Oreochromis niloticus: one gene and its partners. The protein of the gene in region 1 interacts with the protein of each later gene in a pairwise test. Links are inferred from orthologs where the notes say so. Each region holds a gene or a part of one and is shown in the gene's direction. Other genes may lie near its edges.

Evidence for each region.
Region 2: the proteins of htt (region 1) and txndc11 interact in binary tests that used the Homo sapiens proteins (3 or more experiments, as listed by UniProt). The link is inferred for Oreochromis niloticus from reciprocal best matches to the Homo sapiens genes HTT and TXNDC11.
Region 3: the proteins of htt (region 1) and dnali1 interact in binary tests that used the Homo sapiens proteins (3 or more experiments, as listed by UniProt). The link is inferred for Oreochromis niloticus from reciprocal best matches to the Homo sapiens genes HTT and DNALI1.
Region 4: the proteins of htt (region 1) and mbd4 interact in binary tests that used the Homo sapiens proteins (3 or more experiments, as listed by UniProt). The link is inferred for Oreochromis niloticus from reciprocal best matches to the Homo sapiens genes HTT and MBD4.

Annotation. Positions count from the first base shown.
Region 1 is NC_031971.2:34,423,630-34,430,741, forward strand, and holds the start of htt (huntingtin), read left to right. Parts: upstream 1-4,087; 5' UTR 4,088-4,394; coding exon 4,395-4,492; intron 4,493-5,233; coding exon 5,234-5,317; intron 5,318-5,702; coding exon 5,703-5,823; intron 5,824-5,938; coding exon 5,939-5,998; intron 5,999-6,165; coding exon 6,166-6,245; intron 6,246-6,430; coding exon 6,431-6,569; intron 6,570-6,669; coding exon 6,670-6,811; intron 6,812-6,946; coding exon 6,947-7,112.
Region 2 is NC_031971.2:11,026,464-11,033,349, forward strand, and holds the start of txndc11 (thioredoxin domain-containing protein 11), read left to right. Parts: upstream 1-3,878; 5' UTR 3,879-4,148; exon of another isoform or gene 4,149-4,261; 5' UTR 4,262-4,327; coding exon 4,328-4,452; intron 4,453-5,571; coding exon 5,572-5,668; intron 5,669-5,860; coding exon 5,861-5,980; intron 5,981-6,408; coding exon 6,409-6,506; exon of another isoform or gene 6,507-6,584; intron 6,585-6,886. Other genes in the region: bifunctional apoptosis regulator, read left to right, coding at 319-511. UniProt on the Homo sapiens protein: May act as a redox regulator involved in DUOX proteins folding. The interaction with DUOX1 and DUOX2 suggest that it belongs to a multiprotein complex constituting the thyroid H(2)O(2) generating system.
Region 3 is NC_031976.2:27,044,033-27,050,772, forward strand, and holds dnali1 (axonemal dynein light intermediate polypeptide 1), read left to right. Parts: upstream 1-4,422; 5' UTR 4,423-4,561; coding exon 4,562-4,642; intron 4,643-4,919; coding exon 4,920-5,056; intron 5,057-5,124; coding exon 5,125-5,294; intron 5,295-5,393; coding exon 5,394-5,572; intron 5,573-5,831; coding exon 5,832-5,996; intron 5,997-6,082; coding exon 6,083-6,118; 3' UTR 6,119-6,224; downstream 6,225-6,740. Other genes in the region: snip1 (smad nuclear-interacting protein 1), read right to left, coding at 2,058-2,310, 2,504-3,045, 3,403-3,529, 3,731-3,939; gnl2 (nucleolar GTP-binding protein 2), read right to left, coding at 6,531-6,674. UniProt on the Homo sapiens protein: Involved in sperm flagellum assembly.
Region 4 is NC_031984.2:14,358,762-14,366,348, reverse strand, and holds the start of mbd4 (methyl-CpG-binding domain protein 4), read left to right. Parts: upstream 1-4,572; 5' UTR 4,573-4,693; intron 4,694-4,935; 5' UTR 4,936-4,999; coding exon 5,000-5,130; intron 5,131-5,239; coding exon 5,240-5,988; intron 5,989-6,453; coding exon 6,454-6,519; intron 6,520-6,628; coding exon 6,629-6,763; intron 6,764-6,841; coding exon 6,842-6,991; intron 6,992-7,170; coding exon 7,171-7,274; intron 7,275-7,380; coding exon 7,381-7,455; 3' UTR 7,456-7,587. Other genes in the region: ift122 (intraflagellar transport protein 122 homolog), read right to left, coding at 241-387, 476-542, 634-710, 820-898, 986-1,070, 1,169-1,235, 4,422-4,465. UniProt on the Homo sapiens protein: Mismatch-specific DNA N-glycosylase involved in DNA repair. Has thymine glycosylase activity and is specific for G:T mismatches within methylated and unmethylated CpG sites. Can also remove uracil or 5-fluorouracil in G:U mismatches. Has no lyase activity.

The DNA of each region.
Region 1 (7,112 bases):
GGAGAAGTGGCTTATTCTAAGAGTCCCCTGTTGCACATTCCATTATCAGGAATCAGATGGGTGCATCTAGCTGTTGCTGGCTTCTTGTCATTGAGTTTCTTAGTGTCTTTATTTCGTTTGTTGTTGCTCTCAGGCACATTTGAAGCTGATTTTGCTTGCCTCTGTAGATTTTAGCCTTTTAGCTCTTTAGCCTCAAAAACCTTGTAAATTATGTATTTCTAACATGTAACTGATTCACTCATTCTCACAAGGAAACTAAACTGTGTTCACCACCCATGCCTCTATCATTGTTTTGACCATCTTTACTCTTACACCTTCCATATAGCAGTGAAGAAATTCTGTTTTTCGTTCCATTGCACTAATGGTGTGTTTTGACAATGACTATGGGAAAAGTGTCTTTAACCTTTTGTTGGTTTGTTTTTATTTCTGTTTTTTTGCCAGTGATACCAAAAGCAACATAAACTAAATTAGAATTTCTTTGTTTTCTGAAGAATTTAGTAGAGAAAGACTGACAGCCTTTATTATATGTGCCAATAACCAAGTTAATTTTTGACATCCTGCCTTTTTTCAGCCTCTTTATCCTTCCGTCCATTCTTAGAGAAATTCCTTTGTGTAAAGGAACTTTAAACAGCTCAACAGTTTTGAATGTCCGCACTAAGTGCATTGTAATGCCTGTTTAGAAAAATGCATATGTTTTATTACTCAAGCATGTATCAGTTTGTAATACTTCAGGTTCCTTGTATATGTAAATTATGACCTTCTAGTGCCAACATATCTCACTGGTATCTGAGGACATCTTTATGAATCGCAAGGCGACCAGCTGAGTCTTTGAATTCATAAAGCGCATTCCTTCTCTTCTGCCTTTCCTCCAAGACTCTGATGGTGAGTCAAGCCACTTCCCTAACACTGGGATGGCGCTCGCCAGCGACGTTTCGAAGCGCAAGTTATTTAGTTTACTCAAGTCTAGCTTTGGGATGACCACCGACACAGGCTGGGAGGTTTTGCGGGGTTTCACGTTCTTTTGTCCAGATTTGTCAGTTAAGTAATATTTTCGAGAAAGGGAGGAATGATGGATGGATTATGGGTTTTCAAACTCGGCCTGGGACTTCTTGATTTTTCTTCTTTATTTTGTATCTGTACAGTCATGTCGTTCAACCACTGCAGTCATTGTTAATTCTTGTACAAGTTGTATCACTGGTTGTTGTACCATATCTGACATTTGTAATTATGAAATAATACACTGCCATTTGTATAAAAATACTTGTCTTGACTTATTTGTTCTGTGTTTTTTGTTTTATTACTGTGAATAAAAGGCCATCAATTGGAAGAGTATAAAAAGTAATGACCTAGTGCTGGGGGAAAAAAGTATTTCCCCCCCCTTCCTCTTTTCTTATTTTTTGCATATTTGTCACCCTTAGATGTTTCAGAACATTCATCAGATTTTAATGTAAGACAAAGATAACCCGGGTAAATACAAAATCAATTTTTAAATGATTTCAGTTTAAAGGCATAATGAAGCTGGGGATGGGAATCGATATCACTTATGGATTAAAAATCCTTATCGATTCTCATTGGCTCTGCTTTGAAAGTCATCACCATCACTAAGCAGCATATCTGGGGCTGTGGTCAGTATTCAATCAGCTTTAACATTACTCTGAGTTCTTGGCTATCTTAGCATTAGAATGCTGTCTGTGGAGATGCTTGCAAAGAGCCAAAGTTGTGTAAGCAACAAAATTGAGTTGTTTCTGTCCTGGATGCAGTTTGCATTTTGCCATCACGCTCCATATGTGGAAAAGCAATGCTACTCTTGCTAAATCACAGCCTTGTTAATCAAGAAATCATGTAAATAGAAACCAATCTGAAGTAGACAGAAAGATCTCAGAAAGCAACACATTGTGCCTCAATCTAAAGAACTCAAGAACAATTAAGGAGCAAAGTCATTGACATCTGTCAGTCTGGAAAGGGTTACATAACCATTTCTAAGTCCTTGGGATTCCAGTCAACCAAGGTGAGAGCCATTATCCACAAATGGAGAAAACTTAGAAGAGTGGTGAACATTCCCAGTAGTGACGAGACTACCAAAATTACTCCAAGAACTCATTGACAGCTTATCCAGAAGGTCACCAAAAAAACCCAGAACAACATCTAAAGAACAGCAGGACTAATTTGCCTCAGCTAAGGTTAGTGTTCATGATTCAACAGTAAAAAAAAGAGACTGAGCAGAAATGGCAACTATGGGAGAATTCTGAAGGGAAAACCACTGCTGACCAAAAGAACACAAAGGTTCATAAAAAGAGCATCATATCAGCAATCAAACATAGTGATGATAATAATGCATTTTATTTATTTATAGGTGCATTTAAAGAGCCTCTAGGTCACCTTACATGAGTACAAAAAGAAAATAAAAATAAAAACATAAGGTAAATGAAAAATAAACAAGTATGAAAGCAAGTATAAACGCTAAACAAGGTAAAAATAGACTAAGACGGAATCACGATGAAGGTTATGCAATTTTGAATAGATGGGTGTTAAGATGCAATTGAAAAGTGGAGAGAGAGTTTGTAGTCCAGAGAGCTGGTGGAAGTGCATTCCAAAGTCTTGGGGCAGAACAACTAAAGGCTCTGAGTTCCGTGGAAGCGAGCAGGTGGAACAGATAGAAGGGAAGCTGAAGAAGAGTGGAGTGTACAAGGGGGTGAGTACATATGGAGAAGATCAGAAAAATATAGTTGAGCAAGGTTATGAAGCGCTTTGAAAGTAAGAAGCAGGATCTAAAGATTGACACGGAGCCAATGGAGCTGTTTAAGAACAGGTGTTATATGTTTAGTAGATCTAATTCGGAATATAATACAAGCAGCCGATTTTGAACTAACTGCAATTTATGGAGAGATTTATGAAGCAGACCATAGAGAAGACAATTACAGTAATCTAAACGAGATGGAACAAAAGCATTGACAAGTATGGCGGTACTGTTTGGAGTGATTGAAGGACAAAGGCGGTTAATATGATAAAGATGAAAATAAGAAGACTGAGTGATATTATTTATATGTGAAGGAAAAGAGTGCTGTCAAGGATGACACCAAGACTCTTAACCTGAGGGGAAGGTGTGACAACAGAGTTATCACTGGATAATGAAAAACTTCTGGTTGGAACTTTAGTCAGTTTTGATTTGGTGCCTATTAGAATAAATTCTGAAGTAATGGTAGTATGATGGTCTGGGCCTGCTTTGCTACTTCAGGACCTGGGCAACTTATCGTAATTGATGGAATCATGAACTCTGCTCTCTACAAGAAAATCCTGAAGGAGAGTATCTGGCCACTAACTCAAACCCAAGCACACTTGGGTCAACAGGACTATGATTCTACACACACCAACAAGTCCACATCTACATATATAAAAAGTTTTGGACTGCCTAGTCAAAGTCTGGACTCAAATCCAATTGAAATGCTTTGGCATGACCTTAAACAGGTCGCTCATGCTAAAAAACAAAACAAAAAAAACCCTCCAATGTGGGTGAATTAAAACAATTCTGCAAAGAAGAGTGGGCCAAAATTCCTCTACAGCACTGTGAAAGACTCATTAGCAATTATCCCAATAAATGCTTGCTAATAAATGCTAATATTGCAATTAGCTTGATCTGAAAAAATAAATATATAATAATAAAAAAGAAACGAAATCAGGAGTAAAATACTTAAAGTTAGATAAGTTATATATTTTATGCCGTTAGACCCTACATTTGCTCCATTCATTACCTGCTTCTTCCAATTTGTCAGAGATCATAGCACTAACAAAAGAATAAATGATCGAATAACTGTCAGGAGGGGCTGGTTTCCGTGCATTTGTTTTTCCTTCCTACGGTCTCGTATCAGTTGACACCCACCGTTATCAGCGCACACACTAAAGTCAATACTTGTAAATTACACTTGAACAAATCTGTCCTGCACTCCAGATTTCAGCGGTCTCGTGACTGCAACAATAACAACAAAAGAAAAAAAAATCACAGTGTCGTATTGGTTCTTTCTAAAGCCACTCAACAAAAATCCGGACTCTGATTGGCTGCTAACGTTGCACCCTTCCCCTCTCAGTAAACCTGTCACACAAGCTACTTCCTGGTGTGATTGGTGGGAAAACGCAATGCTGCATCAAAGATGGCTTATTATCAACCTGCATTTGATTTATTTAGGAATAGTAGTGTGAAAGAATAAGTGGCGCTCTGCGAGAAGACAAGGCGGAGAGCTGGTGGTAGCTGTCGCGAGCAGTGTTAGCACTCTCGCCGCACTACGCACCTCTTGCTCTCTACGTGCGCAAACGTTAAGTTGCCCCTACTCTGCTAGCTAGTTAGCTCACATAGTAAATATTAGCTAGTCAAGCAAGCTTGCTTATTGTAGATTGCTAAAATGGCCACCATGGAGAAATTGATGAAGGCCTTTGAGTCTCTGAAGTCATTCCAGCAGCAGCAGGGACCACCGACCGCCGAGGAGCTCGCTCAGAGGCAGTAAGTTGATATTTGTCCAGCGGTGACAGAATAGGAGGCTAGGAGCCGTTAGGCTAGACCCTTAGCTTATCGTGCTAGCAGCGTTGGTCCATCTCGGGTAGATAACCAACGTTTAATAGATGGCTTCAAGTCAGCTGCGCTAAAACGTAAACTGGGAATGAGGCTAAGGTGTTATTCATACTTCTCAGCCCATTTAGGTACACTTGTTGCCATGCTTTAGATCGCTGCTTAGCGATGCTCGCTATCCTAACGCGATCTGATTGTTTGCTAGCCTGATTTTAGGATCAGACCAGCTGAATGATGGCCAACACAGAAAGCTGATGCCAAGAACACGTGAAAGGGTCAGGAGGATCAATTTCAAGGACGTAATTTTGTGTATTCAGTAGCAGAGGATGTTGAGTTTCATAATAATATTTAAACTGCTTATGCAAATGGTTATGAATGGAATGATCAACATAGGGGGGCTTCCTGCACTTGCGTCATCTCCAAGAAGTTTTATGACAGATCTAGTCCGTTGTTGGTTGAAACACAGGCATAGGAATTCATTTATATAGCTTTTAAAGAAATGAATTGATGGGATCCGTGCGTAAGGAATACAGTTTTAGGGGATGGCTCTGATTTATAGTCATTATTTTAATCACTGCATTCCTTGGCTATAAGCAAGATACCTAAATTCAGTCTTTCTTTGTGCACACACACACACTCACACTCATCTTTTGCATTTTGTCTCATCTTCCACAGAAAAAAGGAGCAAGCTGCCACAAAGAAGGACAGGGTGACCCACTGTCTGACAATATGTGAAAACATTGTGGCTCAGTCACTGAGGTATTCCTTGTTATTTGATCTAAATATGTGTTGGTGTGAGTCATATCTTTTTACATTATTTTAGGGTTTCCTATCACCTTCACTAACTGTATAAATGGTAAGATAGCTTTTCTGTAAAGAATGTCTGAGGTGCGGGGTGATGTCATTTGCAACCAGAGCTGCTTCAGTAGTGGCTTTACACCTGATTTCACTGATTTCTGTGATATTTTGGGAATGAAGTGGGGACATGTTCATCTTTACATATAGTTTTTTTTTTCTTTTCTGTAATGTCCTTTGTGAAAAAAAACGTATTGCTCCTCAGTTTTGTGAGTTTATGCTAGAGGGTTAACAGTTTGAGAAAATTTAATAGATTTTTGGCTTTTTCTCTCTCTGGTCCTGGGAATAGAACATCTCCAGAGTTTCAGAAACTGCTTGGCATCGCCATGGAGATGTTCCTGCTCTGCAGCGATGACAGTGAATCAGATGTTCGGATGGTAGCCGATGAGTGCCTGAATAAAATAATCAAAGTGAGCAAAATCTGCAAGATGGGACAAATGAATAAGAATATTAATGACCAAAATTGTCAAAATAAGTTTGGTGTTGTTGGTGGTGGTGTTAATCATTCATTTTGATAATTTTCAGGCACTGATGGACTCCAACTTGCCTAGACTGCAGCTGGAATTGTACAAAGAAATTAAAAAGGTAAGGCATGAGGTTGTAAAGTGAGTATTTTTTAATACACCTTCTATGTCTTTACTCTCAGACTATAGGCCAGTGTTAGATGTGAAAAGAAATTGTTTGACGTTTCTTTAGAGAAAGTACGGTCAGATGTTAGACATGGTAATATCAGTGCTTGTGTGGCTCAATAGAATGGTGCCTCTCGGAGTCTGAGGGCAGCTTTATGGAGGTTTGCTGAGCTTGCCCACCTCATCAGACCGCAGAAATGCAGGTATGCAAACTTATAATATTTTTACATTATTTTTAACTATTATCCACAACATGTCTTAGTTTAGAGTCTGCTGTGGTTGTGGGGACAACATCAAAGTATCATCTGTGCTTTTTTTACTTGCATATTCTTTTTTTTTTTTTTGCTTTTACTTCATGTATACTTCTTCTCTCTCCCTTATGGCGCAGACCTTACCTGGTCAACCTGTTGCCGTGCCTCACCAGAATCACAAAGCGGCAGGAAGAGACTGTGCAGGAGACACTTGCTACAGCAATGCCCAAGATCATGTCCGCCCTGGGACACTTTGCCAATGATGGTGAAATCAAGGTATTCACCTGCTGTGTGCTAAAGTAGAAAAAAAAAAATAAAAATCATAGGCCAGTGGAAACTTTTTTTTGTAATCATCATCTAACTATTTCTGTTTTAGGTGCTGCTGAAGGCATTTGTGGCTAATCTGAAGTCCAGCTCCCCGACCATTAGACGGACAGCAGCCAGTTCAGCCGTTAGTATTTGCCAGCACTCCAGACGCACTAGCTACTTCTACACCTGGCTCCTTAATGTTCTTCTGGGTAGGTCGCACACAGGCTCACTTTCAAGCACAGACTGTGGACATGTCTTTTCTACCCTTTTACATTTTACTAAGATCATTTGTGTTAACATTTGTGAGCTAATTTGGAATTTTTGCCCTTTTCGCCTTTTTCCAGGTCTGCTGGTTCCGGTGGATGATGAACATCCCAGCCATCTAATACTGGGGGTGCTGCTAACCCTTCGTTACCTGATGCCTCTGCTGCAGCAGCATGTCAACTCCACTAGTCTTAAAGGAAGCTTTGGTGTCATGAGAAAGGAAGCTGATGTACAGCCAACACCCGA
Region 2 (6,886 bases), about 23 Mb from region 1:
TGCACAGACGGTACAAAAGATGGATGTAGTGACTGTGACATCACCTATTGGTTAATGAAAACTAATGGAGCACAGACTTCTATGCAACTGCAAGTCTTTTTGTAGCCAGAGTTGCCCCCTGCTGGCTGTTAGAAAGATTTATGGCACTTCTGCCGTGGCTTTACATTTCAGACCTAGAGACTATGTCCATGTTTTATACTGTCTGTTGTGTATTACCTGGAACTGGATTTAGCGTCTCCTGTACAAGATTTGGGTTGATAGCTGTTGAGTAGTGGTTGTAGTGGTTTTATAACACTTGTTTCCTCCCTCTCTTTGTAGGACTCTTCCACAAATGATGTGGAGCCACTTGTGGAAAATGCTAACTCAGGGATTTGCATTTGCCCTCCTTTGGCCCTTTGTCCCACAGTTTGTGTGCAACTGCCTCTTCTACTGGGCACTCTACTTCAGTCCCATCATTAATATCGACCTGGTGGTGCAGCAGTTAATGCACCCTGAAACAGTAGCATTGTGACAGACGGCACTGGATGAGGAGGTGCCCAATTGATGTGGGACAATTTGCAGCAAATAAGTTGATGAGAAGTGTTTATTTTTAGCAGTAAACGCATTGAAGACTGGCTTTATCTACTGTTGGGGAATTTGTCTTGGTTCTTGATTTGTCTCTCTGCCGGATGGTTGCCGTGTTGAACAATAGAGGCACCAGACTACTGCAGGAGAAACAAAACCAATGAGGTGAGAAACAAGTAATAGTGTCTGACTTGGGTTGATCACTGCAGTGATCTTTTTGCATCCACAGTGCATTCACAAACCACGATGCCTAAACGGTCCAGGGTGGTAAGCGGAATGATAAGACGTGTTTCAACACTCACTGGAGTAAAGATTGGACTCGCGACGCGGTGCTGAAAGCTTTGTAGCCCTGGCATAGCTGTAGTCCAATAGAACATGCGTTTTTATGCTTATACAGAGTAAGTGAAGTTGGAACAAAACAAATAAGGATACATGTTTTTACATCTGTTATCAAATATCATTCTGGCATGTAATCTACTTTTAGAAAAATAACCTCAGGCTGCTTCAGGATTATCCATCCAGAATCTGAAGCAGTATTTATAACTCTGCATAAATTCTGATGCATTTCTTACATTTTCACTGTGATTGTGATCTCGGTGATCTACAGAGCTGTGTGAGAAGTCATTCTGTGATGTTTGGTAACATGACTGAGAAGTGTCAAGTGAGGTTTGTAGTTCAGCAGTCTGTTTGGCCTCTCAGGCTTTAGCGCCCTTCCAAGTGCAAACAGAGACAGTCTGGCGGAACAAATGTTCTATGAAGTTTGTTCCGGCGGTTCCAGCATTTGCCTTCACAAGATTTGTGATGCTTAGATTTGAAATTTTTAATATTGTGTTTTTTAAAATTTATTTAGGTAATGCATATAACTTCTCCTTTTTTTAAAATATTATATATTTTTTGTTTTTATTTGCTCACACTGCTGAGAAATATTGTTGCCCTTCTTAAAAATTGTTCAAGTAATTCACAGTATATGTTTCCATTTCATGGGTGGACCAAGCTAATCAGAAATTAGTGGGTTTTTTTTTTTTTTTTTTTTTTTTTTTTTAATATGTTCATTTGCACTGAAAAATCTTACACTGTGATGATGATGATGATTATCATTATTATTATTTGTGCTCTTTTGTTCTTGAATGATACTTTACAAAATAAAGATTTATATTAAATCTGAAGGAGTATTCATAGCCACATATAAATGACTTTCTAAATTCTGATTCATTCTGATAAAGGAGCCTCAACCAACTGCTGAGTGCATAAAACAACATTTTTTTTTAAAGGCTCCTGATTTAAAATCCTTTGCTAACGTAGGAAATATTTTAATAATGTGAGATACAGGTTTATGATTTTCATGAGACATAAGTTAATCAAATTTATCTAAAAATCCTTGAAATATTTATCATCACAGGAACAGAATATATCAAAGTAAAGAAATTAACTTTTCAAAAATAAATATATATATTTGATGTTTTCAAGTTCAGTGCTTTTTTTTCATTTATTTATTTATTTATTTTTTAGTCATCAGAGTTCTCATACAGATACAGACTGTATAAACAATCAGCTATCAAAAGTCAGTGAGTAAAAGCTAATAACTAATGCCATAAATTGCCATTAACATTAGGGGTATAACTGAATTTACAGTACTGTGCAAAAGTTTTGATCCACTCATGTCTTTATTTTGCTTTCAAGGCACCTTCTTGTAATTTTTAAAGGAACCCTAAGCAATCATTCTCCAGGCTTTCTGAAGATCTTTCAAAAACCCATTTGCAGTCCAGTCAATGTACCTGATCATTTTCAGAGGAGAATTGATTTATTTTTTTGTTAAACCACTTCTGGAACCATTCAAGGATTTAAAATGCATGATGAATCAGTGTTTCGTCTACGAATAAGAGACAACTTAAGTTGTGTATGTATGTTTTGGCACTTTGTTACTCCCTGCCTAAAAAAAAAAATGCATACTTTATTTTCCTTTCTTTGCTTGAATCTGTGAAAATGCTTTAAAAAAAGAAAAAAAACCAAGCACTTTGAGAGATATGGAGGAGGTTTGTACATGTGCATCAACCAACTGAATCAAAGAGCTATTAGTTAAATACCTGGCATGTCTTAGCATGGTGTGTCCTTAATAAATTGGAGGAAAGTGGACAAGTGGGGACAAGTGGAAGACAAAAGCAGGAAGTGGCAGGCCTGATAAAATAAAGCGAGTGTGTACAGCCATCAGTAACGCATGGTGGGGCCTCTGTCGTGGTTTGGAGCTGCATTTTAGTCCTTGGTGCTCGGGTTCTTGTCAAAATTGAGTGAATTATGAAGACAGAAAACTACCGTTTTGATCCACCATGCAATTCCATCTGGAAAAGATCTCAGCAATGCCTTAATTTTTCATGGTGACAATGATCCCACACACAGCTCCAGTGCAGTAAAAGCATACATGGATGGAAAAACACACAATGGAACACTATCAGTCCTCTATTTGTCTTCCCAGAGCCCAGACCTCAACATTACTGAAGCAGTGTGGGATCATCTTTAAACAGAACAGAACAAGAGACATTGCATTAAAAAAATCAAGAAGGTCGCAGTATTTTTTTTTTCAAATACATTAGAACTGTACAAACTGTTTTTGTTTTATATACTGGATTTTCAAGTGTGTTTGCTCATGTTTCAATAAATCACTGTCCCCATTTCCCATTTTCATAGCAAAATTTAAAGAAAAGAGTAATAGGTTGAGACATTTGCACAGTACTCTAGATCCGGATATTCTACAGACATGATATCCCAAATATAAAATGTCAAGCATCACAGCCTGAGAACTGTGATGCTCATGTCCTACATGTATTGTTTTAGCTGTATTATGAGCATTTGACATTTAAGACAGCCAATGTCTTAAAATTATGTCACAATAATTAAGAGTAAGTAGTGATAAGGTAATAAAAGGGCCTAACAATTTACAACATTACTATATTTGGGTGAATAACACAAGATTATTAAGAAAGTAGCCCCAACTAAGACAACCCAATTTCTCAGTACGTATAGAGACCCTTTTTTTAAAAACTTACACACCCAGTGTTCAGTTATTTTAAGATAAACTGAATCAGTTTGATGCAGTGATTTTTAATATGAAGAAAAGTAACACGAGAAAGGAGTTTTCGCCAACCTGTTTCTCTCGTCTCTTCTTTGTCTCACAATCAGTCAAAAAGTCCCGGGCACTTTAAATAATTCTACTCTAGATGTAAATAAGCGGCATTTAAATAAAGTTTTATCGATTCATTTTTAAAACAACCGCCCCCTAGTGTTTTACGACTGTCGTAGCAGCAGCGGCTGTCGCCATAACAACGTAGGGACGGTCTGAAAAGAGCGCGTTTTGCGCCATACGGAAAAAGGAATAAATTCGCTTACTGGGGACCAATTTAAACATTATAATTATTACGAATCGTGTCGTTCATCTTTAACATCCGGTAAACTAACTGTCAGTAACATTTTTAAACTCAGACAGCCATTAAAGAGTTAAACGCACTACGCGTTTTATTTGCGTAGAGGATTTTACATCCTGCCCCTGGTATCGTTGTTGCGGAAGTGAAAAGTCTACGTGTGGAAGAAAGGTTGGCTTGACCGTATTTGAACACCTTGCACACCAGCACTGCTCATGTCCAATCCAGGTTAGCTGTTTCCGTCGAACCAGTCTTCCTCACCCATCCCCCCTCCCCCCCGTTAGGCAAATGGATGCTTTGAGCGGTAGTCGGGGCGTATAAATGGGACGGAGAGGCGACGACAAGCTGTAATGCTGCGCCGGGTGCGGCAGTCTCTCCGGCAGGTGCTGTTTCTGATGGCCCGGAGACCGGATCTGCTCTGCGGGGCTATCGTGCTCGGCGTCCTGCTCGTGCTGGCCGTCAAGTTCACGTGCAGGTAAACATGGGCACGAGCTTCTGTTTATCCTCTGACAGCGCGAGCTTGCTTGTGTGTGACCAGGCTAACACGAGACCCCTTAAAACACAAACTAAGTGGAATGGTTAGTCAGGTGAGCGAAGAGCGGCGTTGTAACACTGTTAGGTCGTGAATGAACTACTCCTCGCTGTCTGCAGTAGTTACAAACAAGGGCTTCATTATTAGTGCTGCTAATCTAAAACTGACGTGTACTGTAGACAATGAGATTAACTAAGGACATCGCATTAATCTTTCAAGGAAATGTTGGGCGTTTTTTACTCAGATAAAACCCAGAAAAGACTGCAGGAAGATCATAATGAGATTATTAATGTTTAAATAGTAATATCTGGTGACATCCCTGACACACTGTGCTGTCATCATCTTGCAGCTTTGGCCTCTGCAACTTTAAGGTTCTTCAAAGCTTATACCACTTGTCGTTCAGTTATGGTGAATGAAAGTGCTGGAATCCTTCAATTGTGTAAAAGTGTGGCAACTGTTGCTGAATGATTGACTTGTTGGCTAAGCAGTTACTCAGTCGCCCTCTCGAAAATCCAGCTGAGACGATAATTGCCACAAAGACTGAAATTTGAAACCGACTCCACGCAAATTATACCAGGCAAATTCTGCTTCTCGTCATGCTGAGGTAATTTTGCTCCCGCTGTAACAATGTAGACATTTTTGCATAGCCTCTGGGGGAGGCAGAATGTGTAACATCCCCAAACACAGCAGAGTTTTTCACATTGCTTTCTGTGGATGCAAAGATATAGCCTTTCCTCCCCTCGTACATCAGCTTAGAATACCCTCAATTTCCAAATACCATTGCTTCTACTCTCATTTTCCAAATTTAACACATGCATATTCCAATATGTGCAACTCAGAGTAGTATGCAAGGCTGGAGGTTACTGCAGCACTCACATCAACCGATGATGGACACACTGCCATGATGAGCGAATCTCATGGAAGTGACACAGAGTTGTAGCTCATGGATTTAATAACCTGGCAAGATTGTTTGAATTCTTTACATATGCTGAATATTATCTTATTATGTGACTGTGATCTCTTTGCACCCCTCAGCGTTACTCTTCTCATTTATTTCTGTAGTCGTGCTAAGAATGTGGTGGCAGCAGCTCGGCCTCCGGTGCGTTTCTTTTCTCCTGACGCCCCGGTGGTGGATCTCTACTTGGGCCAGCTTGACCAGGTGAGATTCAAGGATTCAGACTTGATGGCAATCACTGTATTTTCCTTTGTTTGATACTTCATTTGCTCAAATTGTAAAAGAGAACAAATGGAAAGAGCCAAGAGAGTTTCTAAAACTCCAGTTAAATGTTTTGTCGTCGTAATCAAACTTGTGGTGCTCTGTGAGTCTGAAAGGGGTTTTTTTTCTTCACAGGTGGAGCGTCTCAGGAGTGTGGCCGAGGTGTCCTTTATTTTCTTCTATGCACCATGGTGTGCTCACTCTATGGCTGCGCGACAGGAAGTGCAGCAGGTCGCTAAGAAGCTGGCCAAACAGGTACAAGTGAACGGAACCTCCCCCACTCAGGATTGTTTAAACATCAAATATTTAGATGTGCTTTACTTGGACAAAGACTAAGGAGGCGTCAGGAAACTGGGGCTTGTTCTTACGTGGATGCATGTTATGTTATCGCTTGTTACGCAACATATTGGGAAGAGTTTATAGGAGCAGCTTGAGAGACTGCAGTAAAGAGTGACTCTGATATACTTGAGTTAATACAATCTGTTCCCTTCAGCTTAAATACACACTCACACATTTTTAGCTTGTGTCTCTCAAATGCAAATTCATAGTCGACTTGTTTTGGGCCTGTTTGTTAAGTAAATGAGTCATTACAGTGTGTGATTTTACACTGTTTTGTGTGTAGTCTACACACCATTTTGCTCATCTTTGTTTCTTAATGTGTCTCTTCAAACACACAAACACAGGTGCAGTTTGTGGCTGTTAACTGCTGGTGGAGTCAGGGGAAATGCAGGAGGCAAACCCACTTCTATCACTACCCCGTCATCCATCTGTTTTACAGAAGGTGAGACGGCGGGCTTGTCTTCACTTATGCTGGGAATTTGCTTTCAACAGCTTTAGCCAACAAAGAAGAATTGGGAAGGTACAGCCCCATTCCAAAAAAGAAAAAGCTGGGATGCTGTATGAACTGCACATAAAAACTGATTTGCAAATCTCACGAAACCCATCTTTTATTCACAGAACAACACAGAAAACATATCAAATGTTTAAACTGAAAAATGTACCATTTTAAGAAAAATACCGGCTCATTTTGAATTTGATGGCAGCAGCACTTGGGGAAAAAAGAAGCTGAGACTAGACCATGTTTACCACTGTGTAGCATATGATAAACATCTGGGAACTGTGAGACCATCTGCTGGACTTTTGGAAGAGGAACGTTGCCCC
Region 3 (6,740 bases), on another chromosome or scaffold:
TACTTTTTGGACTTTGAATAGAATAGAATTCAACTTTGTCATTGCACATGTCACAAGAACAAGGAAACAAAATGCAGTTTGCATCCATCCATTGGGCCTTATTGTGGAGTGGTTTACCTTTCCTAACTCTCCTTTCTTTATCAACTCAATTTTAATACGATTAAAAAAGTTTAGGGTTAAAACCCTTTTTAATCTACGTTATTTCATCACAATATGTAGAAGGGGAAATAGACACACAAATGTTGAATGCATTATTACCTAAAAGTTTGATATTTCTTAATACATTGCTACATTACTTCGCCTCTACATTCCTTATCATAACTATTGAAATTAGGTTGGAAGAGCTTTTAACATGAAAACAGAACAACTCTACCCACACAAAAAACAAGACTGGTGATTACATTAAAAAATTGATTAGGCAACCAGGTTTTTGAAAACATTGACACACATAAACCACAGAGAAGTGCTCATCTCCAAAGGCAGCCCAAACATTCTGGAGCCGAAAACATTCTTTATCACATCTATGCTCGTAAGTTCATAACTACAGCATGGTTATGGGTCCTAGTGATACAATATTCAATAAGTCGGGACAGATTTAAGATTAGGCAGTAACATATGAGACTGATGCCTCTGACAAGAAGAAAAAGATTAATGCCCCTTGGAAGGGGAGAATACGGAGTGACTGATTTTCAGGAATCTGGACAAGTACAGGGCAAAAAAAAAAAAAAAATGTCAGGCCTAAACAGCTATATACATCAGGTGAACAGTATCTCAATCATGCCCTTAATTAGAAGGGAAAAAAATCCCCAAAACATCTGACATAGGACCTGAGAGATTTGCAACAGCTTTGTTTTTCAGCACGACAATGATCCCAAACACACTGCCAATGCAGTAAAAGCACACCTAGACAGAACCCCCCCCAAACTCATGGAATGGAGTCCCCGGAGCCAGATCCTAAACATTGTATGTCGTCTGCTTTTTGTTTGACAAAGAAAAACTTAGGAAAGCCTTTCAAGTAGCCTAGAAAACCGCTTAAAGAAGTGTCAAGAGATTTTGCTGTGCTGAGGAATAAAGGCGGTCCTATCAAGTATCGACTTTCAATAGTACAGAATTGTACAAACTGTTTTTGCCTTACTGTATGTTTGCATGTCTTTCAGTAAATTGTTGCACCCATTTTCCTAGCAAAATATAAAGAAATGAAGGGATACTCAAGACTATTGCAGAGTACTGTAATTAATAGGCTTAAATTATCATAAACAAATTATATTACCCACTATATAGTACCCACTTGTTAAATAATTATGGTGCCTATTGTCCTCCTTAAAACGGGACATTTTGTGATAGAAACAAAACGGACACCAGTTTGCTCCAATAAAACTCTTCAAAAATTTATTTACAGTACAAAAATGAAAATTTACTATGGGTTTCTATGAATGGGCAAAAATAAGAATGGTGCATACAGATTCCAGTAGTGCAAGGGAACACAACAGCGTTAATAATTTTTCCTGCACTACGAAGCAAAGACAAAAAAGGAAAAGGAAATATCTTTACATCTTGTACTGCAATGTTTACTCTGACAATAAAAATGCTCTTTAAACATGAATGTTGAGTTCACATTCCAATAATGTAATGTACACTGACACATATAGCATGGACATAGATGATTAGCTATGCTTTGCACTCAGTGCTATGGCGCAAAAAATATAGAATATATAACTATAGATTGGTGAGATATCTTTATCTGTCACTGAGCACATCTTAATGTAATGCGAGCACTGTCAGAAGTAAGATCCGTCATGTATCACATAGACATTATACAACCTGAGAAAAAGTCTTCTTTGAGACAGCTGTGGCAGGTTCAAGCAAGAGATCAGTAATTACAGAATATACACCACCAACAAATCCTGTTCCATTATTTCAATCAGTTCCCGCATTTACCAGTTCAAACTTATTGCTCCATTCCCTGCAGAAACAGTTGTTTGTCCTGTTGTTGTTGTTTTTGATGATGATGTTATCTAACCTGAATGAACTTAGGCAATCAAATAAGTGGGAACGATTTACTCATCAAGGCCCTCGTCTTCCTCTTCCTGCTTGGCATCCACCTCGCTTGTGTCTGAGAACTCGTGGAGCAGCACGTATTCACGGCTGCTGAAGCCAAACTTTAGGACATCTTTTTCTTTGAGTTCATAGTACCGCTGGGGGTCGATACGCTGGTTGTTCAGATAAGTGCCATTGCCAGAGCCAAGGTCAATAATGTAAGGCTTTACCCTCCGGCCCGTGGTGCCATCTGCCCGCGTAAACTCCACCAGTCTGCAGAAATGAAGACAGAATGGTGGACATGATCTATTTGCAAATGAGGATCATGATTAAAGAGTCATTCAACATATTGGACAACAACAATAGTAAATAGTAATCACCACAGATTGAGCACGTTTTTCAATCAAAAAGAAAACCAGAGTAAAAAAAAAATAAATAAAAATTTGATGATGACTGTTCTTCCTACCTGTACTGGAATACTGCATGTTGCTTGGAGCAGGATGGGTGATCAATCGGGATATCAGCAATTCTTCTCTGTCGCCCCAACAAATAGGCACTCTGTCTGTGAATATACATGACTGGAAGAGCCTCATCATTCTTGAAAGGGTACAGTCGCCATCGGCGCTTCGGAATCCGAGCCTCAGGCGGCTCGTTGTACTTGATCACCACTCCCCGAAATGTGTTTGTGTCTTCTGTGAGTGCCCCTGAAAGTTCGAAGTTTGGCTTCTCTTTCTCAGCAGGAGCAGCGCTTGCCTCATCACCCTCTTCTTCTGACCTCCCGAAGTCTCGCTCTTGGTTTTCTTCACGTCGCTGGCGATTTTCCCTGCGTCTCTCATCTTGCTGCTGTCGTTCAGCTTGTTGAGAGGCAAGAGCATTTCGCTCCCTATGCCTCTCTCCACCGCGCTCTCTCTCTCGTGGCCTATCTGATTCCCACCTACTCCGTCTGTCCTCTGGTTGCTCATTTCTTCTTCTTCTCTCGTCGCCGCTAGCTCTATGCTCATCCCGTTCCTGTGACATATATTTAGAGAATACTTACACAGTTACATTGTTGAGTAGTTAGTTATATTATACTCCATTACCCTTCAGTATGGAAAAGTGGGCTCTATTTTGTTTGACATATTGTCATTACTGCCAGATGCCTCTGAAAAACATTAAAATGGGACAACTGTAGCCCAATGTTGGGTCTCTACACAGAAAACATACTGCCTCAGACTGTTAGTACTATCTCAAAGTACTTGGGTTACACAAGCTTCTGTGTGATAAATTCCAGATGAGTACTTTATACCACCTAGATCACTTTACACTCCAGTGGTGCTGCTGAATTGCAAACCTGAAATGTTTCCCAATAATTTTGAAACTAATCACCCGCTTTACTCTGACATCCCCATGGTGAGGACTACGACTTCTCCTTTTTCTCGGAGATCTGCTGCTTCTTCTGGCGGGAGAGGTTTCCCTTCTACCTGGTGAACGGTCCCTCGTCCTTGCAGGTGACCTAAATGAAGAACACAAGAGAGTATTAAGCGACCGTTCACATGACATTTCTCACCGTTAAGATGCAACTAGTGGCCGTAGCTAGCCCAAGTAAGTACTACAGCGATATACTCGAAAAAACGGACTCTGTCACGGTTGTCAAGTTGATCAATATGACATATGTGGCAAAATTAAGGTGGTATGATAACTTTAGTGCACACACCGGCTCGTTCCTCCTCTCTGTGGACTGGAGTTGCCGGGGGATCTTGACCTGGAGCGGCGTGATCTCTGTGGCCTAGCAGGGCTCAGTTTCTCCTGCTTTATCTTTACTTCGGCTTCACGCTCCGGACTTTCTCTTCTCCTGTGCCGCTTCTCTTTGGCCATGCTTAAAATAATTCTCTCAAATCGACCGTTGTATAACCTAAAAAGCATACATTTTCAACCACACCACTGTATGTACAAAAAACAAAAGCCTCGGCATGTAACAAACTTCACCCGTTACGCCGAGATCACGCACTTCCGCTTCCTGAGGTTCACCGAGAATTAAGCTCCGCGTGTGTTCATGTTTCACGTTGGTTCCGACATGAGAAGCCGATCAGTTTATTTCCTGTACAGCCTAAATATTTTAGTGTATTGAAAAAGCTGGAATATTCTTTCATTATTTACATATTCGTTTAACACACATTACTTTTACTAGATGCAGCCTCTAAACACAATAAAAAAGGCATAGTAAAAGTTGCACAATGTGGTAAAAGCAAAACAACAACAACAACAACAAAATCACATGCCCTTGGGCTTTTTAAAATAATTTTTTTTTAAAAAAATACTGATAAAAATGTATTTATCTCAAAGGGAATTTATAAAAAAAAAAGTGTCACTAGCCTGTACTCGCTGAAGCTATGCGCTGATTCCGCTCGCACACATTAGAACGTAACGGACGCTGTTGCCAGGACAACCCAAACAATGAGCGTGAGCTTTCTGTAACTAAAGGCTAAACCAAGAAGTTTCCAGTTTTACTGTATAACTTTATTCTATCCCTCTATTGTAAACGACAATGATTCCTCCAGCTGACACGCTGTTGAAATACGACAATCCAGTTCTGGTCAACAAAAGCACAGACAGAAAATCACCAAAGGTGAGTTTATCAAGCCAGCCGTGTTTATGGCACAAATCTCAGGGATAGATTTGAGATTAATGTAAAAGTTATGCTATTCAAAATCCCGGCAGTCTGATTAAATCTTAAGATAATTATACTTACATCTACTAATATATTTGCATGCATATATAGTTACAAGGTGGTTCTGTAAGGTGTATTTTATAATAGATTTACGAAAATGTATCAGTCATTTAAAAAATCAAATCAGGGTAATAATATGTTTGTCTGATAGTTTATGAAACATCTGTCACTACAGGGACGCCCTTTGAAAGTAAGCCCTCAGCAGCCCATTGACTCTACACCTGTTCCACCACCTCCTAAACCAAAATCAGCCTCTACTGAGGCTACTAAGCAGGAAAATGAGGAGATCCTCAATTTAATCCTCCCACCCAGGTACAGTTTTTCCTATCTATAGCATGTTCTTCAGCAAGTTCAGAACTTTTCAAATTTTCCTCTTACAGGGAGTGGATGGAGGGAAACCAACTGTGGGTGCAGAAAGTATCCAGTACACCTTGTACAAGAACAGATGTGTTGCACCTAGAGGAACTCCTAGACACAAAACTCCAGGAAAGACAGGCCAGAGAAACCGGCATCTGCCCTGTCCGCAGGGCGCTCTATTCCCAGTGTTTTGGTAAGGAAGAAGCTGAGATGTTGCTGATTATAGAAGGTACAATCAATGCATATAAATACAATTAATCACATACGTTTTCTTGTCATTCTTTCTTTTGAGATGAATTAATCAGACAGGTAACCATCAACTGTGCTGAGAGGGGTATGCTATTGTGGCGGGTCAGAGATGAGATTCAAATGACCATTGCCGCCTACCAGACCGTCTATGAAAGCAGCATAGCTTACGGCATGAGAAAGACACTGCAGGCTAAGAAGGGCAAAGCTGATATGAAAAACAGAGTAAGGATATCATGTTCCTTATGAGTTACAAATACAGGGTCACAAAATATATATACATTTTAATACTAGGCAATTTATAGATGATGGGAAATTTACTTTGCCATTCATGTAGTTCAGCTGTCATTTAGCTAGGAGTCCAGCAGAGAGCACCATTTCTCTATTTTACAGTTACTGTACAATGACAGTGGCTGCAGTGCTCTTTACAGGATTGACCCCGCATCAATAACAAACTCACAAGTATGCTTTGGTATACGGGCAGATTTTGGAGCTAGAGAACGAGAAACAAGAACTGAAGAAGGCGCTGAATGAAGAGAAGGCTAAATGTGAAACAGTTGAGAAGATAGAAGCTGAAAAACGACAGCTGGAAGAAAAGAGGCACAATGAGGAGATCCAGCTCCTAAAGAGAACCAACCAACAGCTTAAGGTGACTTTTTCAATTACACATCAGAGAATAATTATTGTAGATTGTATTGTCTAAAGATTTCTTAACCACCCATCTTTTCTTTTCAGGCCCAACTGGAAGAGATAATTGCACCAAGGAAGTAAAAAAAAAAAACCCCAAAACTTAGCTGGCATTTCTCTGTACAAGATTGTATTCATTTATAATTCATCTTATTGCTTAATGATACATTAAAGTAAAAACTTAGTGTAATTTACAAATGTTTTATTGTTCTGGCATAACAAGTACACTTCAAACAACTACTGCAGATTGCTCTTGAACGTCAAGAGAGCAGTACACTTGTAAATGATGAATGAAATGTCATTCAAATACAGTTCTGCACTGAGGGGAAAAAGTTATAACAGTCATGAAGATAAGGCATCAAGTTGATTAAGACCACCTTAGTGTTCCACCTTCTGCCAACCTTTTTTTTTCCCCAATGAAAATAGCATCAGGCTAATTTAAATACAGATTTATTACATGTGTGTTTTATTTTATTTTATTTTATTCAACTCCAGTCTAGTGCTTCGATTTCTTGGTATTTTGACCTTCTGTGCCTGATGCTGGGATTTTTTTGTTCTTGTTCTTGTTCTTCACATTGTGAGTTTCATAATAACGCACGCCAACTTTCTTCGTCCTCTGAGCACGATCCATTGCTCTTCTCTGTAGAGAAAGATAAAAGAGAAATAGAAGGAAAAAAAAAGTGAAATCTTCTTCTAAAAAAGACCA
Region 4 (7,587 bases), on another chromosome or scaffold:
ATCATAGAGCAAAGACAGCTGTTCCCAGGCATCATAATTCAGTCCATCATTGAGAAAGGTCCACCACTCACTGGTTGAACACTGCCCCCTGCTGGCCCTACAAAAACTATTCACCTAAATAATAAATCTAATTTTCCACAATTTTGGCTCAAAATCTTGGAAGGACAGTCCAAAAACATATGTGGCTATGTGTTAATCTGTGGAGACATCCTTCCATTTCTATAATAACTTAGGACTAACTTGGAGGGATTCCAGGCTATGGACCAGATAGGAGAAGAGGAGCCTCCTGGACGCTCTATTTTGACCTTCTCCTCCCCATTTTTGTTCCGAATGCTCACCACTCCATTCATCATACCCAGAGCAAGGTATTGCCCATCGTTTGTCCACCTGCAAGCAAATGATGCACAGCAACATAAATGCACAAATGAAAATGTACTGCTGCTGCATAAAAGTTGCTGCTCCAGACTTCACTTACCCACAACATGTTATTTTGCTGCTCACTTTATGTTTGTTTACAGACTTTTGCTCTGGAGACCACAGGCCTAAAAATATGAGAAGTTCGACAAGGTTTAATTTCTCTATGTACTTACATTAGGTCACATTTATCAAAGTTCCCCACTGAGGTGCACTCACCAAAGTCACCAGATGAGCAGGAGGCAAGCTGGTGAGTGACTGGGTTGTAGGCAACACACTGGATAGAGTCATTGTGACTACAGATAAACAAATAAAAGAAAGAATGATGGAGGAGTACAGACTGTGCACTGTGGTGTAACACTACAACTCTGTAATACTAAAGCAATAAGTAATAGCGCTGCTTACGTATATTTTAAAATACCCTCCAGTTTAGAAGTCCAGATAATAATGCTTTTGTCTGCTGACCCTGAGGCAAATCTTTTACCTGCAGAAGAATGCACTACTGAGTAAGAATTAAGAACAAAAATAAGATGACTGACACAGAAAAATGTAGTGAAAATCAATTTAGTACCATCTTTGGCATAAGCCACACAGTACACTATGTCTTTGTGTCCTTTTAAAGGCTGAATAATACTGCCATCTGTTGCATCGTAAACCTGGAACAAAAAAAAAAATGAGGTGAAATTGAGGTGAACGATGAAAGTATTCTCTACATGTTTGCATTTTTAGGCTAAAGAAAAGAGAAAAGCCTCACCAGGACACGAAGCCCTGCAGCAATTATGAGTTGGCTACCATCTGGTTTGAAGGCGAGGTCATAAACGCTGCAGAAAAAAACCCAAAAGAACAGATCCGTGTTCAAATGGTTTTTCAATAAATTGATTAGTTCACGAGCAACAGCTATGAGGATCCATTCATCACTGAAATCATATAATGGAGGTTCCCTGTGGAGTTTTTGACCTCTAGCAGTGCCATGGAGGTGGATTTTACAAGTACGTTATTGCTGTGTGCCAAAATGCACACAGGGAAGGTTTTGCAACCCTGCAACTCTGTTGAAGGTTTTGGAGGAATTCACAAACTTATGAGTGAAGATAAAGCCAAAACATGTCACTGCAACACTGTGAATTAGTAAATATGTTGTTAGGAAATATGAAAGAAATATTAGAAATATAGACGTTAAGAATCCTGGTGAAAAAAAACCAAGAATAAATAAAAACACTAAAAAAATCAGGTTCCTATGAAGAGGGAAAACATTCAACAGTTCTGCTAGGTTGCAAGGATGCACACAATCTGTTTCGGTGTGAAAACACTCACTGTGAAGCATGGAGAATAATGGCTTCCAGTTTCATAAGTGTGAGAATTTGCAAGTGTCCAATGTTTCTTTAATACTTTCTTTCAGCTGCAACCTTATTTCCCAAGTGGTCACCACAGCGGATGGATCTGCATATTTGATTTGGCACAGATTTTATGCTGGATGCCCTTCCTGATGCAACCTTCCCTCCCTGATCTGGGGTTTGCGACTGGAATTAGGAGTGAACTAGCTTGGGAGCTCCAGTGTCTTCTCTCAGTATTGAACTAGGGAATTTCTTTAATATAGCACACTGACTTTTTCTTTTTTTTCTTTTGCATACACCGAATAAACCAAAAAAAAAAACAACCCATAAAATTCAGAGTTTGAAGAAACAGAGGACATCTTTAGCAAGGACAAACAAGTGCAAACAAATCAAACCAAATGTTCTGAAATTAACAAATTCAGGGCTTTTCCCCTAAATGAGATTTGGCATTCCTCCAACTATTTCTTTAAGTGGGGAAACATTAGCTGAGCATAAGTTACATTTTTCTAATTTATGCAACTTAGGCAGAAACAGGAAAATACTTACATTTCTGTTGATTCTGTTACATAAGGTAGCTCAGACACTTTGCATTAACTATATATTACTCAGTTGTGCTTTGTGGATAATTATCCCCTGAAAACACCTTTTTTAATCAAATTTTAGGCTTTTATGTGTGAAAATGGGTTAACAACAGTAAGTAACAAAACTTAAAAACAGTAAGTGGGAGCTGCTCAAAATCACACACGCACACACAAAACATCCAAAAAATGTTTACACCTAACAACAAGGAAAATCACGCGTCTCCATCCACTCCACCCTGCATGTGCTCTCTCCTACACCTCTTTTGTGCACTGTCTGTTGTTTTGGATGGTTCACCCCAGATATTTAAATTGGTCCACCTTAACTACTTCTGCTTCTTGAAAACTTGTTACACCTGTCTCCCTCTCATTCACACACATGTGTTCTGTCTTTCTTATACTTCTTTCCAGTCCGTGCCTCCACCTTTCAAAGCTCTCTTCCAACTGCTCCCCACTCTCACTATTTATCACAATGTTGTCTTGTCAACAAGGGGCTCAAAGACAATCCCTGATGTAATCCCACCCTCACCTCGAACCAATCTGTACCACACAACTCGCCACTGTCACACTGTCCTCATACATGTCCTGCATTGCACCACCTTCACATACTTCTCTGCAACTCCTGGCTTCCTCATGCAGTACCACAGTTCCCCTCCTGGCAGCCTATCATATGCTTTCTTCAGATCCACAAAGACACAGCTCACGTCTTTCTGACATTCCCTATACGTCTCCAATCAACACTTTCAAAGTAAAAATCCCATCTGTAGTGCTCTTTCGTGGCATGAAGCCATACTGCTGCTCACTGATCATTACCTCACTCTTTAAGCTACCTTCAACAACACTTTTTCCCATAGCTATGGTATGGCTTATGAGTTTTATCCCTCTGTAGTTACTGTACACTTGTTCTTAAAAATCAGTACCACCTCTCCATTCTTCAGGCATCCTCTCACTCTCAAAGACTGTGTTAAACCATCTGGTAAAAACGTTCACTCTTTTACTTGACTATATCCGGATCAATTGTGCTTACGTGCATGGAGTTTTGAGCCAGGAAATTAAAACCTCTATAGATAAAATGAATAAAAATCCCTAGTGGGTCCACTGGGGGTAGGGACACCAGCAGATGTCACAAACTTTAGATGGACTGGACTACGTCTTTGTCTAATGTCAGAGTAAAAAATGTGAGTGATCTGTGGCTCAAAATTAATTGAATCACACCACCAAAAAAGTTAACTTCCATTTATGCATATAAGAAGTTGGAAATATCTAATTAAAAACTACAGCATGTTTTTATTAGAAAACAAATAAAGTTGTTAAAATGTTACAAGTGACTTCTCAGCATTATTAACGTATCCCACATTGTCTCACTCAAACAAAGCAGGACTTGTATACTTAGTATGATAACTGCAGTTATCATGCTAAGTATACAAGTCCTGCTTTTGCCTTTTTGGGGAGTCATATTTTTCCTATTCAGATACAACCATCTATCCAAGATGACTCCTGCAACATATCAAGTATTGTGATTTGATCTGATCACAATATAAACATTTTAGTGGGCATTGTATCATTAGAGTATTATGAGTTACTCTGTGACTTCCATTCTCCCTCTGAAACAGCACAAAAACATCTCTCCAAACACCTACTCGGTTTTTGTTTTTTCGGGAAGTCTGATCATTTAAATGCTAGACTAAACAGGACTACCTTAATTCCTGACAAGAATGTAATGGGAAATAATGGCAAACAAGTTAATACCTTATTTAAAAAGCCTCTTCAATAAAAAGATGTTATTAGGAGCACGCAATTCTGCACAACAAACAAAATAAACCGTAATGAGAACTAGAGATCCTACGTCTATGATTATATCGGTTACCAAAGAACCATCATAAGCTACTGTACTTATGGAAAATACATAATGCACGACATCTAATATGAGAGCGATATAAAAGATCACACATTGATGATAATGGAATCGCTGCGATGCTAAAGCTAGTTAGCGGGCTAACACTAGTTTACATAGCAACCACCGTTGCTAACCACCTAGCGTTACATCTGAGCATCGGGACGAGGCTGACAGCGCAAACCTAATCACTCAGATTCCTACCATTGCTCACGGATCGTTTCCTTCCATGCTAGGACAGCTCTCATTTCCGCTCTTTAACAGAAAAAAAGCACCAAAGGTTCTTTTGTCAACAGGTTGCTGCAGTTCGCTTGGTTCTGTTTTTTCACCCTGTACCGTTTCTTGTAGCGAGTAGCTCGCACTGCGCAGACTCGCACTTGCTCGCTACTTCCTGCTTCTGTGTTGACATCAGAAAGAACTCGGTAAAGCCACGTCGAGACAAGAAGATGCACATCTAAAGCCTGATCAGTATTCATGTATGCTGCACACGCCTTTGTTAACGTTTTAGCTCTTTGCTTTTGATCTGCTGCCCAGTAATATCCAGCAATCCTTTTTTTTAATGTGGCTTTATGTGAGCAAACTGTAGAATGAGCAAACGCCTTGTATGTGTTGTTTTTGTAAATGTCCAAGTAAACTCGCAGGAACAAAACAAGAACTACAGGTTCATAGTTTAACAATAAAGCCAAGGTTTTTTTATTCGTTGTCTTCACTTCAACAGGACTCCAAAGAAACTAAAAATGCATCCTACTAGATAAGATACTGAACTGGAGAGCAGTGTGGACATGAATCATCAAAGTCTCAAAGAAGGGGAGATTTTGTGCCCTTCTTCCGCATTGCCCCCTGGCTGGATCAGAGAAGTGAGGCAGCGGAAAGCAGGCAAGACAGCAGGCAAACTAGATGTCTACTTTACAAGGTGACTCAGTTTTGGTCTTTTTTACAATCTTGTCTCTGTAAGATGTTACCTGTAAGTGCACCACAGAAGCCCTTAGATCAGCATCTAATTGATTTTCCTGTTGTTTAAGTCCCGAAGGGCAAAGGTTCCGGTCCAGAGCATCCCTACGCACTTTCCTCCTGGAAAGTGGAAGTGGTAACTTAGACATAAGCCTCTTTGATTTCACCACATCCAAAGATGATGTTGTCACCCCTTCACAAGCACCCCCTCCCAAAGTAAAGCAGAGGAGAGGAAAGAAAAAGCCTTTAGAGGGACAGCAGGAGGAAACAGAAAATGAAACAGCAATTCTAGAGGCACCTCCAAATAAATCCAAACAAGCCTCTTCCTCCCTCAGAAGTGATACTAAAAGCGGAAAAGTGAGGACGGCAGACGACACAAATCATATTGATGCTGACACTAAACTACAGAAGACTGCATGTGTATTAGAAGTGAATGTGAATGGAGACAAAACTACTGAAACTTTAAATGGTTGTTTACAAGCTTTGACCGCAGAAAAAGTGGACAATGTACAACTGCAAAAGAGCCCCCAAAGAGGAGGCCAACTGAGAGAGAAGTTACTCAGACTGGCTCCTTTAAGTAATCAACCAAACACGTCTATTCTTCAAGAGGACAAGAAAGCAGATTTGAAGCCTTCGGCCCCGATTTTGAATGTTGAACCTGCCGCTGAGAGCGAGAAAAAAGGTGATGAAAGCAAAGGTGACAACACTCCTAATTCTGACCTGGAGACTGGCGATGACAGTCGTCAAGATGCTGAAGAACATGCGTTGTTACCTGATACCACTGATGGGAGCTGTACACCAGTTCGAGAATCCCAGAATAGTAAGAATGAGCCACACTGACTGACAATTTGTAAAAGTTTTTCATGTTTTTTTAGCTGTTTAATTTGAGCTTATCCAGTGCATTAGTGGTTATTTATGTCTTCCATTATCCTCTATATTTGCAGCTAGAAATACATAAAAATCAAAGAAACCAAATGCCTTAATTGACACAAAATGTTCCAAATAGAAAAAAAAATGCATACATTTAGATCTGATAAAGAGGGGGCGAAGAATAATAGTCCATTGTTAGAGAGTGCATCACATCATTAGTCTAAGGGAGGACAGAATTGATTGAGTAATCTTACTGCATTAATGAAGCCATCATAGGACTCCACCACTTTGTGCTCAGCGAATATATGATTTTCTCTGTTGTGTCATTTTATGAGGTACTTAACTTTGAACCCAACCAAAAGATGTAAAGCAGCTTCACTCTTCTAATATCCATAAATGTTTCCTGTCTGCTTAGAGTCCAAAAGCTTGGAAGGCAAGCGGAAAACAAGTCCTTATTTCAGTGGGAAATCCAGCAGAGATGGTAATGTTTAATGCAGGAAACTGGATGCTTTTACGTCGGACATGTATATCAACATTCATGAAATAAATAAAGTGTGTAATTTAAAGAAATGTGCACTGTCCACACTCAGGACTTAGCCCACCGAGGAGGAAGGCCTTCAAGAAGTGGACACCTCCCCGGTCTCCCTTCAACCTCGTACAGGAAACTCTTTTCCATGATCCCTGGAAGCTGCTGGTAGCCACAGTTTTTCTGAACAAAACCAGTGGTAGGATTCAACACACACATTTAATTATTCAGGATGTTGCATTAAGCTTTGCTGAACCCTGGCATTTCTTTAATACAGGTAAAATGGCCATTCCAGTCCTGTGGCAGTTCTTTGAGCGTTATCCATCTGCAGAGGTGACCCGACAGGCCGACTGGAAGCCCATGTCTGAACTTATGAAGCCACTTGGCCTGTATGAGCTTAGAGCCAAAACACTCATCCGCTTCTCAGGTGGATATTCTTGCCTGTTAGTGGATTACAGCAGCAACTACCTTTGTGCACATGCAATGTCCATTTATTTATATATATTATTGTAATTTTATTGTTCATTTTTGGTAGTCTTTGCATGGTTTTAGTAACAATATATGAAACAGAAAAAAAATCCTCACAATCCCTTTTCTCTGGTGTAGATGAGTATCTAACTAAACAGTGGCGTTACCCTATTGAGTTGCACGGTATTGGAAAGTACGGCAACGACTCGTACAGGATCTTCTGTATCAATGAGTGGAGACAGGTGGGTATAATCCCAACTATTTTACTTCAGTTGCTTCCATTGCTTCCTCATTTGTTTGCTCTAAATTCAAGTTTAATTTTTTCTTTTTTCGATTCTTGTGTCAAAGGTAAAACCTGATGATCATAAGCTAAACAAGTACCATGCTTGGCTGTGGGAGAACCATGAGAAACTGGGAATCTGAAGGACCAGAAACAAGAAAATCACTTCTATCACACAAACTGCAGTTACCCAACAATATAACAATATTAGCATTATGGAGGACTTGAAATTTTAATCCTGAATTTCTTCAATATTATGCAGTATTACGCTGGCT